2 linked regions of the Mytilus edulis genome follow. The protein of the gene in region 2 binds, or shares a complex with, the protein of the main gene of each other region. Links are inferred from orthologs where the notes say so. Each region holds a gene or a part of one and is shown on either strand. Other genes may lie near its edges. The genes, in order: NTF2-related export protein 2-like and nuclear RNA export factor 1-like.

The links.
Region 1: the proteins of nuclear RNA export factor 1-like (region 2) and NTF2-related export protein 2-like are in contact, whole or in part, in a crystal structure (PDB 6IHJ), measured with the Drosophila melanogaster proteins. The link is inferred for Mytilus edulis from reciprocal best matches to the Drosophila melanogaster genes sbr and Nxt1. Residues at the interface, in NP_524660.1 of Drosophila melanogaster: Leu359, Leu360, Glu361, Thr362, Lys363, Ala364, Ser365, Tyr366, Met404, Leu405, Ser406, Ile407, Ser408, Met409, Pro410, Gln414, Arg426, Asn427, Leu428, Arg429, Arg438, Thr439, Leu442, Tyr444, Thr467, Val468, Asp469, Thr471, Ile472, Met477; in NP_611833.1 of Drosophila melanogaster: Met1, Leu5, Val9, Glu10, Ala13, Asp17, Arg21, Thr43, Ser45, Trp46, Asn47, Gly48, Asn49, Gly50, Ile52, Tyr60, Leu64, Leu71, Asn72, Thr73, Leu74, Asp75, Ala76, Gln77, Pro78, Ile79, Val80, Asp81, Leu91, Met93.

The regions. Positions count from the first base shown.
Region 1 is NC_092351.1:84,636,161-84,644,160, forward strand, and holds the start of NTF2-related export protein 2-like, read right to left. Parts: upstream 3,095-8,000; 5' UTR 3,014-3,094; coding exon 2,990-3,013; intron 1,206-2,989; coding exon 1,119-1,205; intron 1-1,118. Other genes in the region: malate synthase-like, read left to right, coding at 5,127-5,252, 6,717-6,848.
Region 2 is NC_092346.1:23,919,194-23,927,190, forward strand, and holds the start of nuclear RNA export factor 1-like, read left to right. Parts: upstream 1-4,916; 5' UTR 4,917-5,027; coding exon 5,028-5,079; intron 5,080-6,980; coding exon 6,981-7,106; intron 7,107-7,997. UniProt on the Drosophila melanogaster protein: Mediates the export of the majority of mRNAs from the nucleus to the cytoplasm. In ovarian follicle cells, plays a role in transposable element silencing regulation by enabling the nuclear export of flamenco (flam) transcripts and subsequent piRNA biogenesis.

The sequences.
Region 1 (8,000 bases), on a different chromosome or scaffold from region 2:
TTTGAATCGTCATATATTCAGGTTTAGTTTACAATGGTTTAATTGTATGTTTGTGTTGAATTCCTCTTTAAATGAAGGTAAATTCAGGAAACCACTTCAGAGGCATGAAAGTGTTGTTCTATTTCTTTATTAGAACTTCTCTTACAACTTGACCATGTTGCTTGATATTAAGTTCAATCCAATTGAGTGCACTGTATAAAGCAGGGTTCAAAATTGATGCTGGTCCGGTGATACTGAGACCAGTAGAATTTGCGTCAGACCAGTAGGTTTTATTAGCTGGTGGTCTGTGGGACCAGTAGAAATTTGCCGATTACATCATTGATTGCATTGCTATCTCGATTTGTTTACAAAAACATTTACCTGCGAAATCATTTACCCGGACTGGGGGTTCTAATTATTACAATTGATAAAGCTAATTAATATCTTGGGTGCAAGTACTTCACAGCAACATAAAATGTGGAAATTTCTGGAAGGAGTTAAACCGTCGGACACAAAATAAAAATAAGTGACATGCAAAAGGAAGATCAGATTTTTTTTATAAAATTGACAAAAAGGAAACAAATATAAAAAATCCTGTGAGAAAGATCGTGAATAGTTAAATTATATTGTCGATTGCAATGTAATAAATTGTATAACATGTGACAAATTTGCAGTGACAGACCTAATTAAGAAATGTATTTTTGCAACAGGATCTTCAAATTTTAAGTTAAATCCATGTCAACGCTCGTGAACAATCAGAACAGCACAAAGAATCTACAGGAATAAAGGAGAGGAAAGCACACAAGAAACCAAAGGCAGGGAAAATCACATGAATCATTCAAATTCAAATCAAATCATTTTAAATTTGCGTTTCTCAAATGAAATTCATTTTTGCAGGACCAGTAGAGTTGGAGCCGGACTAGGAGATTTATTTTTGTCCACTACACAAAATAGCTTAAATTAGACTCCTGTAAAGTGACACACTTCTTAAACACAGATAATATTTTTATTGGAATGTTGTTTATAATGGTTAAATTTAACAAAATGTGACTTGGATGGAGAGTTTTTACATTGGCACTCATACCACATCTTCCTACATACATATATATTAGGTTACCAGTACACAACATGGTACATACATGTCTTTTCTTGTCTGTGGTTTCATAATACAGTTTGGAGAACTGCTCCCCTGCTTCTGCTGCTTGATCTACTTTGGTGCTGAGCTCCTAAATAAATACAACAATACATTATGTAAATTATTACAATTACTGTAATCTAAAAAGAACAATTCACTTCACAAGGTATTTTTTCATGATGGCAAAATCTCTGACAGTGCAAAAACAATGATAAGCTGTGGCCCTTTTTGTGGGGAAAATTTGGTTGATTAAATAGGAAATCACTGAAGCTTGAATGGAGCTGTCCCCCACCCCCTTTATGAGAAGTTAACCGCCATTGGTCTTTGAGAGAAGCTCTACTGTGATCGATAGTCGAGTTTGACATATTTATACACTGTTAATGCTAAGATTTCAAACGCCTGTGAACTTAAAACCAGAGATATAAATACATGTGGTATATATGTCTCTAGTTTAAACCCATTAATATGAGGCAGGCATTACCTGTAAATGGGGACGAAGTCTGTATGAATTATTTTTTTGTAACTTAAATATTTGTTTAAAAAAAAAAAAAACAGAAATACCGTAACGTTTCCGATTTTGGTTCTGTTGTTAGGGATTTAGTTGTGACGTTATTTAAATTATGACGTCATATGCAATGTAAACAAAGAAACGCTATCATCAGGTAACGTTTTTTCATATCAAGGAATTATTAAAAATGAAATTGGTATTGCGTGTTCCTTCCTATTTTATACTAGACTGATAAATATATATTTTACTCAAAGTTTCATACAAACGAGACCGGAAAAAGGAAGTACATTGTACATTTCTGCGCAGGTCCGGGATTTCAAAACACGACAAAAAAAATTTGAACGATTTTGAGTTCATTAGTACAATGAAAAATTCGGGAAATTTTCCCGTATTTTTTTTTTTATTGAATTTTCTACTGTTATTGGGGACTCCGTCCCCATATAATTATTGAAAGGACAGCATGAATTAGTCAATTTATATGTATTTTATAACAGAATGCAAGTTCTTATTATTACGGTACTAAAGTGAGGGTGGTAATGGGGGTACCTTCATGTTGAATAATGGTAAAAATTCTTGCCAAATGACGTAAATGGTAATTTTTGGTGTATGACAATAAAATGTACACTTTCTTTTAGACGATAAAACTTCAACTGATTTTGACGAATCAATTTTTTTTTCTTTCCAAAAATGAAAGTAACGATAATTATTTGAGACCTCTGAAGAATCATGATAAGGATATTTTGATGAATCACCGTAAAATTTTAACCAATTTGAGGCTAACGGTAGCTGAAATGACTGTTTGATGTTCAAGGGCATTACAACCCTCATAAAGTAGACGCATTATTCACATTATTCTGAACCTCACTTAAATAAGACGTACGTTAATAAATTTCGGAATTTATAGTAATCTATATAGTTTGATGTCTGAGACTACTATAAAATTATAGTAGTCTCAGATCATGTTGATTATCAATATCATATTGATCATGGTGTTAATTTTTCAGCACACAATTTCCAAATCAGGCAAATGTTACAATGTACATGATGTATAATTTATAAATGTTGTCAGACCAGACAACTCTCCACAAGAGACCAAAATGACACAGCAATTAACAACTATAGGTCACCGTACGGCTTTCAATTTTATTTTTTATTGAATGGGGAAGAGGTGGGTGTGGGTCAGCATTGTTTCAGTGCAACCCTCCCCTATCTGAAGTATTGAAAAAATTGCATGTACCCCCATTGAGACAAAAAATAATCTATTTCATGTTTGAGAGATATTGAAACTGAAAATTTATAGGTTAAAAACCTTTACATAAATTTAAATTAATATAACAGCTATAACATGCTATAGGAATAAATATTACAGTATCAGACAGTGAAGATGTCATGCCTCCTCTGTTGTAAAATTTCCGGGATTGACTCTAAAATTAATATTTTGTCTTTTGTGTACCAGTTGCGTAGCTGCAGGGTACCAGTTAAGAACTGAAGAGATTTTTTTCACAGGGCCTTGACACTTTGATAGGTAAATTTGTGTATTTTAAATCCCATGCTCTCCGAAATGACAATAAAAACTGCATCCTGGTGATTTATTGACTTGTTCTGACAGCATGCATTACACTGTCATTCAGTCATTCACTCAGAGCATTTCTTTTCGTTGTCCCAAAGACAAAAAATTATATGACATGGGGGTCATTGCCGAACTGCCAGTGTCACTGATCAAGCTTTACATGCAAATTCAGTTATTTTCCATTAATTAATTCAAATGAAATTATTTTCAGTTTTGACACTTTGCAAATCCCTTACAATGAATTGGTTATATACTTACTGTATAATAGCTGCAAAACCAATGTTAGCTCAAATAACATGTCTAATGTACTGATTTTTTACTCTTGTGGACTATTTATGGTCCGTAAATTGTCCAGAAAAATATATCATCTTAAGGACTTAACTGTATATTTGTAATGCATTGAAGGTTTAAGTCATTTGAATTAAGACCCCTTGCCTGTAGTTATTTTTTTCCAACATTTGATCCCTAAAAACTTGAATCTACTATTTTCATGATTTTACAAAAGGTGTTTTTTTAACAAAAAAAAGGTAGTAAAGCTCACAGCACAAGGGTTCTAGGACACAATTATTCTTGTTTGTATTGTTTTCAAAATTTCATATCGGGCCTTTTATAGTTGACTATACAGTATGGGATTTTTTTCGTTGTTGAAGGCTGCATGTAGCATGTACGTACAGTGGCCTATAATTGCTTTCATCCACTTCATGTAAACTCTTGTGGATACTCTGATAGTCATGATAGTTATTCTATTGGCAATCATACTACATCTACTTCTTTTTGTTGAGCCTAGGTCTTTAGTTGCAGAAAGCTCGACATAGGGATAGTGATGCGGCGGCGGCATTAGCTAACTTCTTAAAAGCTTTATATTTTAGAAGGTGGAAGACTTGGATGCTTCATACTTTGTATATGGATGCCTCATGTTACGAAGTTTCCGTCAGTCACTTGTCTTATGTCCTTGACCTCATTTTCATGGTTCAGTGACTACTTGGAGAAAAAAGTTAAATATTTTTTGTAATGTTAAATTCTCTCTTATTACATGTATAAGTAATAGGCTAACTGTATTTGGTATGTGTGTACCTTGCAAGGTCCTCATGCCCGTCAGACAGTTTTCACTTGACATCGACCACATTTCATGGATCAGTGAACAAAATGGTGAACAAGGTTAAGTTTTTCGTGGTCAAGTCCATATCTCAGATACTATAAGCAATAGGTCTAGTATATTCATTGTATGGAAGGACTGTAAGGTGTACATGTCCAACTGGCAGGTGTCATCTTACCTTGACCTCAATTTCATGGCTTTGTAGTTATAGTTAAGTTTTTGTCTTTTGGTCTGTTTTTCTTATACCATGTATACTGTATGCAATAGGTCTTCTATGTTTAGTGTATGGAATGATTGTAAGGTGTACAAGTCTAGCTGGCAGGTGTCATCTGACCTTGACCTCATTTTCATGGTTCAGTGGTCAAAGTTAAGTTTTTGAGTTTTGGTCTTTTTTTCTGATACTGTATATGCAATAGGTTAACTATATTTGGTGTATGGAAATATTTTATGATTTATATGTTGGCATGGTCAGTCACGCAGGTTTATTTGAGCTTGACCTTATTTTTACAGTTCATTGCACACTGATAATTGTTTTGTGTTTTGGACTGTTTTTTTTTAAACTATATTTGTTGTCTGGAAGAATTGTTAGCTGAACATGCCTGCCTGGCATGATTCATCTGACCTTGACCTCATTTTCATGGTTCATTGGTCAATGTTTAATTTTCTTTGTTAATGTTAAGTTACTGTGACAGTTATAGTAAAGCTTTATATTTAGGACTAACAACATAATATCAATGATTAGTAAAGAAGGTGAGACATTTCAGCACGTGCACTCTTGTTATATAAAAATTATTTGTTTTTATTGTTTCTTCATTAGGAAATGGTTTAAAAATCAGAAATGGACAGACTGAAAATAATAAAGAATCATTTATTGGTGAAAGGGAGAGAACCCTGTATTACTACAAAGATTTGTAGTTTTGATTCATCTCAGGATTGCTTACATTTGAAGAGTGGACTTCAGAAGGTAAAATATTCGTACTTCTCATTCATGTGTCATTAGACAGATTTTAGACAATTGCCATTCGGTCATTTGTCTGATATTAATGATGTTAGACAGTTTCTGAATTTTATCATGTTTATGACTCGTAGAAATCCTTTAAATTTTAGTAATGTTTTTCCATAGAAAATGTCCCACTTATCATCTTACACCAGATACCTTGTTGGCCAAGTCAGTGGTACTACTTGTGGAAGTATTTTTTATTTACTTAAAGAAGTAAAAAAAAATATACACATATAAGTTAATTATAATGTTTGAATAATCTCTCCTTAATTTTCTCAAAAATTCACTTGTATAAGTAAATTTTTCTTACAATCCCCAAAAAAACCTCAAGTTTTCAGATTTAAAATCATGCCTTTAATGATTTTTCCTAGGTTACCGGTAGCTCATAATTTTTTATTAGAGTTCAATGTTTCATCTCATTAATTCAACAAAGAAACTGACTGACTTACTGAGAAATAACTCTCAATTGATACTTCAATAAATCATTTGTGTATACAACAATGGGATTGCAAACCAACAATACAATTTACAAAAGACATCACAATGGCTGACGAGGAATCAGGAGAATCATCTTAGAATTCTGCACAGAGAAAATTAACAAAACATTAGTATGATCATTTTCAAAGAAATTTTCTTTTGATAAGACTATGTTTGACATGCTTGATTACTTATTGGGTATTTAATTAAGATATTCAAGAGAAGTGAAAAACATTATGGATGTTCTAAATTTGTTAAGTTGGTACTAAACAATATAGGGAGATAACTCTGTAAATTCAGCTGAACGTTTTAATCATATTCTATTGTAACATGTTTTACAGTTTAGGAATTATTAAGCTTCTCAATCAACAAAATTAGTGTTTGTTAAACTGCTATATATATTATATCCAACAAAATTTTTCCAACCAAGTGTGTGGTTCAAGTTTTTGAAACTTTTATATTATTGTCAAAGGGACATAATAAATAATTTGCTAAAACTTTATGAAAATTAAACAAGCCAAATTAATGTTAACCAAGGCGTTTGGTACATTTTGTACCATCATAACAAGACTTTAAAAGGTCATATACTGTAAATTCAGAAATTATTGTGTGCAATTAGTATTTTAAGGTGGTACCCAACACTTTCACTAAAATTAATTTGGCTCGTTTAATTTTCATAAAATTTTGACAAAGTATTTACCTTGACCCTTTGACAAAAATATAAAAAAATCAAAAAAATTGAACCAACCATTTAATCAGAAAAATTACACTGGTTATATTGCAGTTTGACAAACACTTATTTTGATCATTGAGAAGCTTAATATTCCCTTAAGAACACAATGTCATTAAAACGTTCTGATAATTGAGTTATCTCCCTGTAGTGTTAGGTACCACCTTAAGAAGTAATGATATAGTATTGATGTAACCTGACTATTTGTATTTAAATTGTAGCTAGGTCTAACCAATATAGAAGTTAGTAGTCCCCCTGTGAACTATGAACACTATTACAGAACGCTACTCACACCAGAGGCTGTAAAGTTTGTAGCAGACCTGGTGAATACATTCGACAATGATGTTGAAGGGGTAAATACTTGCAAAATTAGAAAAGAAAAAACCAAACAGAGATGAAAAAAAAACATAGAACTAGAAATATGACCAAGTTTAGAATGGAATAATATACTTTTAGTTTTAGTAATCAATTTAAAACTTGTTTGATCTAGTGAAAATATGATTTGGTTCATGATAAATGTAATTATTACATTGGTTGCAATGAATTTCATTGATTTACCAGTGAAATAAAAAACGATAATTTCACATGTGCAATAAACATGGTTATTTCACTCCTCTGACTTAATACAACAATAGGCGTTGTCAAGACTTTGATAATGTCTGATCAAAACAAATTGGGAATGTGTAGAAAAAGGTATAGGTCCTTACATTTTCTAGTTTAATTTCATAAAAAAGCCATTTGCCAATGTAATAAAAAGAATAACTAATCAAAGAATTCAAATATCGAAAAATACTCAACTCGTGACCGAACAACACTGATTATAACTCATGCGCTGGACGCATTCGTGAATCAATGTGTTGTTTGGTCACTTGTTGAATATTTTTCTCTATTTGAATTCTTCGATTAGTTATTCTATAATTAATATAAATTCCTGATGAAGTTGTACGTACATTTTAAGATAATTCCAATTAAACATATATGACTTGCCTTATAAATAAATGCATTTTACATTGCATATTGAAAGCAATCTTTACCCATCAGTGCTCAAAAGCTATTTGGTTAACTATATTGAATATACAGAGATGGTTGAGTAAAACAAATTGTCAAAGATATGGCCAGAAGGATAACAAATTAACAATATATTAAAGAAAAATTTACAATTATGAACAATTATTAAATGCCTTCGAATGACGAATCTACGACAAACTAACTTCAGATTGTGATCGTTTGGGAAATATTGAAATTCAAATGCGAACTGTCCGGGTTGTCATGGTTGTTACATTTTTGATTAAATGACGAAATTATACTCCTTGTTGTTGAAATGCCGACTGATTTTCCTGGGGAAATAATTATGATGGTCATTCAATTATGGGGTTAATTAATAAATTACGGATAAGTGACCCATCTGATGGCGATAAGCGGATTAGTTGTAATCACAACTTGTAACACCTGTTGAAAATGTTAATTACCTGGAGGTCATAAACTTGTCAAAAACATGAAGACAG
Region 2 (7,997 bases):
GGTTTGATGTCTCGTAAATAGTGGAAATATGTAGGCATGTGTTACATATAACAACTAGTATAAGTGTGAATCTTTGACGATCAAACTATTACGACTTCAGTTAATATGGTATAATTGTGTTACTATGGCAACCTCTGTTAAGACATCTGTTATCAATAGCTCAGTCTGACTATCTAGGAATTTTTTCAACTTATGTCATACAAATTTCCAAATTTGGAGTTTGACTGTATTTACTGTAAAGACACCCGGTCACATAATTTAATAACTTTACTTTGTTGACATTTTGCAATCATTGTCATACTGACTCAATACTCAAGTAAAATGTTTTTTAAGACAACAACAAAAAAGGCTTTCTTTCATATATATCTTAACGTGCAAAATTACCCCCCCCCCCCCCAAAAAAAAAATCAACTTTACCGTGACTCAGTGAGTGTGGGGTTGTATATTTACTGAACGATTTGTATGTTGTATTTTGTTGTTCTTTAAAAATTAATAAAACATTGAGAACTAGAAGATAGTTTTCATAGACGTTCACTTTAAACCAAAAGAAGTTTAATGAATTATCTATAATTCTTTTACGCGACATGATCGTGACATTAAACAAAGGAAAGGGCTTCATGGATAAATTGAAGTTGAACAATAATATGAGACTATAACCTAAAGAGTTGCTAGACTGAAATAAACAAATTATACACAAGTCAGAGTTTTTACCATTTTGACATATTGTTTTTAAATGTTAACAACGACGACCGTAAGAGCATACGATACAGTTTTGATTCCATATTGAAATTTTGATGAACATTTGCATATAGGCTATTTTTTGCCTGATTAAATCAAATATGTAATAAAAAAAAATGTATACCTTCATGTATTACTTTTTGAGTAAAATAAGGTCCAAATTTTATATTCGGATTTGTGGACGTATTTATCCTTTCGACAGAAATACATAACCTTTTAGTTTTAAAGGATAAACACAAGCTGTTTTTTGTTAAATCATTTGTAAATTCTGTTTTATATAAATGTCCTTTAATTTTGTGCAATTTGTTTTTCAAATAACTCATATTTATTAAATGTTCACGAATGTAGAAAAAAACGTCTACTTTGGCTGCATATTTATCAAATTTAAAAAAAAATGCACTATTTACGTTTACATGAAAATTGGCACACATAATCTTCTTACGTAATCAAACCAAATGGCATTTTAAAAAAGAGGCGTCCAAGAACTCGTTTACAAGTTAGATAAGATTGAATGATAAAAATCAGTCGAAAACTAAATCTTTTCTCGATAAGTCATAGTTTGACGTCTCGAAAATAACAATTTACGTTAGCAACGTCATCCCCCCCCCCCCCCCCCCCCCCCCTGGTAACTGTATCGTTTGCCCTTAGCTGATTGATGGTTGGTTGTTTAAGTATTGCTTTTAATTATATACTATGTAACAAAATTGTTGATAGAACATAAAAAACAAGATATAGTAAGATTGCCACTGTGAAAAAACTCTACACAAGAGACCAAATGACACATAGATAACAATTAAACTATAGGTAACATTACGGCGTTCAACAATGAACAAAACCCATATGATAGAATGTCTGTATGATTTCATTTTATTTCCTCTAGTGAAAGTCTTATCTGATAACAATAAACCTTATATTACTCTGGAAGCAGTGTCGCACCTCTACTTTCCTTTTAAAGAAAAGGTATTTAGAATACTCAGATAGAGTATGACAAAAAGAGTATGAATCAAATATAATGATATTAACGTGCTTATTAGTAATTTCTGAATTGTGGACGCTATTCTAAATATCTTTTTTAAAATAATAACACATATTATGCATCGTAACATTACCTTCATTTCAATCCTTGTTAAAAAAAAAATTGCCTTGAGAAAATGCTTCGACATTTTTACTGGATGATGCTAAATTTGAATTTGAATACCGACCAGAATCATAAACTCAGAAAGACAGCATTATGAGTTGGATACAAGGCGAAGTTTGCATCTAAACTCATATTACTGTAAACCATTAAAAAAGTTCATGCATAAAAAATCTAATCACTTGATGACGAAACGTATCAAAATACCATGGTGTAGTACTTCGCAAATTAAAAGATATGTTTGCATGATCAAATTCAGAACACTATACATGTTTTAGTACATGGTACCATTATATTTCAGTACCGTTGAGATGCAACCTCCTTGCCAACTATTACTAAAGTGGAATGTTGTATTCTCGAATGATTGTCAGACCGTAGTAATATATAACGCCTTTTTTTCACAACAACATTTTATCTTATAAAAGCTGCTTATCATCTTCCCAGTACTAATATCATCTATATCTGGATATAATCTTCGGAATAATTACCGTTTCAATGGGATCATTTAATTAGTACGCTAGAACGTACAAACAATTTCATTTTTTCCGAATACAATATAGCAATGGAATGTCACCCATGAATCAAAACTCTGCAAACTGAGAGGAGTATCTGACATTCTGGGGAGTAGGATTTTTCTAGATTGGTCTTTACATTCATCTGTTGCTACATGCATATAATGCTTATTTTTCCAGCGGCTTTTGTATACGCCTGTATTTTGTGTTGCACAATATTTATTTTCATCATATCTAAAGTTGTGCAAAACTATTTATTTTCAGTTCTAACAAGTTATTTTCAAAATCCTCACCCCCTGGTAAAATGAATTGATCGTCCCCTCATGTCATACCTTTCTTTCAAGCGAAGAACATCGGAATGGGAATCTGTATCTGTATGGGTAAAGTATGGGTATGCATGGGCTTTATTACTTAGGGGTGCGGATACCGCAAATCATGAGTCCTGAGTGCAGCTATATATATATTGCTTGAAGCTTTTGGTTGACTTGACTGCAGTCACATTGCTATATAAAAGATTGTTCCAGCTAGTCGACAGCAGTTCTGATGAAACATGAGCTTTTAAATTGGTGGTTTGATGGATCTTTACTGTTTGTGTTGATGCGGGATTTAACATCTTTCCACAATTTAGTCTTGGATTTTTTGGGGGTTTGTTTTGGCATCTTTTAGTTTTGGATAATGTAGAAGTCGGCATCAATGATACCTGACCATCAACCACCCTGTAGATAATTATTTACCTGTCATTTTTGTGATGCATCCATCATCTCTTGATTTGTAGTCATTATTGATAAAACGCGCCGCCCTTCTTTTTACAATTTATAGCTGGTCATAATTATGCAGATTGCTCCATATTTCAAAATCTAACTAGGGATTTGCATTTGTTTTCCGTCGTTCTTTTAAGCAATGTTGTAAATCAAAAAATCAAAAATGTTAAAGATAAAGAATATGTTTGTCTTGACATAAAACTGCTTATATTTCTTTTAGATATTTAAAAAATACATGATAGCCGATATAAAAGATCATTATGCCGGGGAAATACTTTACTTTACCTTTGCATTCCATCATCGCAAATCAAACTTGTGACCCTTAAGTGCCATAGCGTTATGGACGATGAACGACTCAAGGCGATTAAAAATCTTTGATCAAAGAGAAACATATAAAGTTAAGGCGTTAGACATGACAGTCTTCATCAGAAAAAAACCTTCAGCATAACTTCGGAATAACATCTCAATGTCATCCGCTGTACACTTGTCTCCTTATGGTGAAATTTTGTAATGTTAGCCTTAGCTTGTATCTTCCGATGAGTTTTATTCACTTATTTGGCTTTATTACTTTTTTTTATCTGAGCGTCACTGCTGAGTCTTATCATGTAGACGAAACGCACGTTTGGTGCATTAAATTATAAGTCTGGTAACTTTGATAACTTTTAGCATGTACTATTGTATTGTTTATTTGTAACGTATATTTCTGCGTTCTAAATGATCTAAGATATAGGAAGATGTGGTATGAGTGCAAATGAGACAACTCTCCATCCAAGTAACAATTTATAAAAGTAAATCATTATAGGTCAAGGTACGGCCTTCAACATGGAGCCTTGACTCACACCAAACAGCAGCTATAAAGGGCCTCAAAAATTACTAGTATATAACCATTAATGAAATATTTTCCATTTCAATTCAATATTTATTGGAAAGAGCACAATAGAGGCGTGATCCAAATACAGACAATAGCATTATTAAAACAACATATAAATGAAATATAGATGCATGTAACAACAAGTTGTAATTTAAGTAAATTCTATGGGTACCATAACATTCTAAGTATATTATATGAATACCATTACATTTTAAACTGATATTGATACCATACACATCCCGATTATTCAAAATTTTCATAATTTTACTTTAATAATCACACAATCACCAGGGGCGGATGCAGGAATTTTCGAAAGGGGGGGTGCTAACCTAGGGCACCCAGGGCAAAGGGGGGGGGGGTGCAAAACATATGTCCTGATACAAATGCATTGATCGGCAAAAATAAAGGGGGGGTGCGCACCCCCGGACCCCCCCCCTTGGATCCGCCACTGATCACCTATAAAAGATAAATGTGTAAATGCATAAACTACTATAAAGGATAATTATTATTTTCTGATGAAACAGTATGGTGGTTTCTCAAATTAAGAGCTTCATTAATGTACATACAATTAGATTTTAGTTCTTTTTCAGACATAGGACTTTTCAAATATATTTTAATAATTCGGATATAAATATATTAGACCATGAATTTTCTCTTTTTGTGAGAGTTTTGTCCACTTCAAAAGCAGCCTTGAGAATTTCACCAGACCTTTCACCAATATCACTGAGACGCACATAGTATTTATACACAAGTTGATAACATTTAATGCTTATGGGTAATGTGACCATTTCGCATCGAACTGCTAGATTGGAAGACTTTCCATGAACCCCAAGTATGTTTTTAAATATGGAGTTTTTTCTAAAATATTTAAGATACGGAATTAAATCCGTCATTGCGTCAAGTTTATTGATTCTACGCATCAATCAATGACGTAAACAGCAAGCACATTTTCTAACCATACGGCAATTTTTTCCTAGGACTGCTAAAAAAGAAACTGAAACAGATTAATTATGAGCCAGTTTAAAGTTACCACAAGTCGTGATGGCAGACGTGTATTTGGAGGTTTTTATTATTATCTAGCTAAATATCTTTGACTTTCAAGGCCAATGGTTTTATAATTATACACGGTTAAAAGAATTTGTGCACATATTTTCAGAAAACATTGTTTGGGCACAGGGGCTTGTTTAGTGGCCTGTGGTTTGGGTTATGCTTATGGTTAGGGACATTATTATATATTTCGATTAAATATGTTAACTTATAGACTGTGTCCATATCGGGGACTTTATATGTATAACGTAACGGTACCCAAATTGCACCGAGTACCCAAATTGCACCTATAATAATTTTAGCAAAACTAGCAGCGAAAATCTTACAAGATTTTCTAGAGACTAAACAATTTGTTTTTTTTATGATTTGATACTAAGCACATCTTTCAACATAGGTAAAACTATTTAGATATGCACAAAACGTTCACAGTATCTATCAACAGATGAAGTATTTACTGAAAAAGCAAAATGTACTGAAACGTCGCGTCATCAAAACGTCATCTTTTTAAAATGAACAAATACAATATGTTACAAGTATCCATTTAAAAAATAATGAAGAGTAAGCTTGGACTAATGTCCAATTGTTCAAAATATTTAAAGAAATTAAACAAAAGCTCTGTTATTAGACTTTTGACTATGTGAATTAAAGCATGGAAGCAATTTGGGTACTCCTCATTTCAGAATCATTGATGGTTTGGAGGTCAGTTTAGACCAATTTTTCTATGATTCCATATGGAATAAAAATCAAATTGGTGTACCTTTATAATAAAGAAAGATAGGGCTACAAAATAAACACAGAATGGACATTTTTGTTTTCATGATAAAAAAACGTAGATGAAAAAACTGTCAAAATAGGTGCAATTTGGGTACCGTCACGTTATATGTAAAAGGTATCATGAAGTGTAGTCATCCATGTAGAGTGTAAAGGGCCTTTAACTTAATTAAAGTACTCAGTAGTGAAATGTACATCTTCGCTAGCCAAGGGTTACGATCCACTCTCGCTCTCTGGAGTGGATCGTAACCCTTGGCTAGCGAAGATGTGAAATGTAGTGCCAGCGTCTATTAGAATAAAAATAATTTACCCCAGAGCTCCAGATAAGCTGCGTATTTGCGTGATCACGCAATACAAATAATTAAAAACCAATGCAATTGCCCATTGCAGGGGATAATATAGTTATCAATGTGCTGATGGATTGTCGTATGATGTAGATATAGTTCTTAAACCCAATTCATCCAAAGGAAAACCCAATTATATGCGAAAACCTTGAGTTCTTCACACTTTTATTCGTTTTCGTATGCGTTATTTACCCTGAGCTGATTACAGTCGTCTGCGTAAATCTATTTTTATAATATTTATAATTTGAAATATCCTTTCGTTCTAAAAATAGAGCGTTGTGCATCAAGTAGTGCCTGTTGGAATTTTCCGTTGCTCAAATGGTACACATGTTTATGAAAACATTTCAATCTTCTTGGCATTTATCCAATTAGCGTTTGTCATGTTGTCATATTCTTTCTGGAATTGCTCAGGATTTATCAAGTTAATGTCCGGTAAAATGAATAAAAGCATGTTTTCATCTTCTTTTTGATAGCTGAGGGAAAGTTATGATGATAACAAGACTCAGCTAGTGTTTTTAGGAAACTGTCATTCAAATGCACGGTCGTGTTTGCGTACCTTAACAATCCGATAAACCGGGGGTTATGTCGAGAACATTCAGATGTAGGTCTACATAATATTTGATATATTTTATCATGTTTATATCAAATCTATTAAAATTGAAAAAAAATCCATTTAACTGGTTAGCATTTTTGGGTATTTGATATTCGGTCCTAGACAACACTATGCTGAATAGAATGTACTCAAAGCAATGGAGGCTGGAAGTGGGACTTCTGATATAACTTTGATATTTTGTTATTTAGACCACGATGACCGATGGACAGACAATGGCAGAGGAGGTCATGGTGGTGGACAAAGATCTTTTGGAAAACGAGGTGGAAGGAAGAATTATGGGGGCTTTAATAGAGGAAGTGGTTACAACAGAGGTGGTATGTTGTCTTTAATTTTAACATTGGTGAAATTTTAATATTCCAAGAATGAAGTTTTATAAGATTTGTTACCCTTATGTACATGTATCAAGACTTCTAATTATGATTTCAAGTTTGTTTTGATTATTTGTATGCCCCACCTACGATAGTAGAGGGGCATTATGTTTTCTGGTCTGTATGTCAATTGGTCCTGCTTCAGGTTAAAGCTTTTGGTCAAGGTAGTTTTTGATGAAGTTGAAGTCCAATCAACTTGAAACTTAGGCCTTAAAAAAAAAGATATGTGTTTCCGATAACATCATTTTAAAAAATAGGGTCGGTAGGTCGGAATTCTTTTTTTTTTTTTGTTTTTTTTTTTTTTTTGACATCGTAAATGAAATCCGGAAAATTATCATGGTTTTTCCAAGTCCAGATCCGTAATTAGTTTCAAAAACCGGAAGTGTGCCATTTGCAATGTTTTTGAAGCACCTGTTGTGCAAATTTCTTGGATTTTAACCTATTTGGAATACCTTTTGACATTAATAAAATGTTTTACTGGCTTTCTATGCAAGAGGAAGCAAGAGAGAAAAAATATTATGTCATCTATCAGAAGCCTGTGTCAAAAACAGGGTCGGTTGATAAATTTTTTTTTTTTTTTTTGGAAGATCCAATAAAAAAGTTAGGGTCGGGGCTAAAAAACAGGGTCGGTCGGGTTACCGGAAACACAGGTCTTTTTTTTCTCGGCCTTAGTACACATAGATATAGGAAGATGTGGTGTGAGTGCCAATGAGACAACTCTCCATCCAAATAACAATTTAAAACACATGTTCCTTATGATATGATCTTTCTAATTTTAATGACAAATAAGAATTTTGACCCCAATTTCACGGTCTACTGAACATAGAAAATGATAGT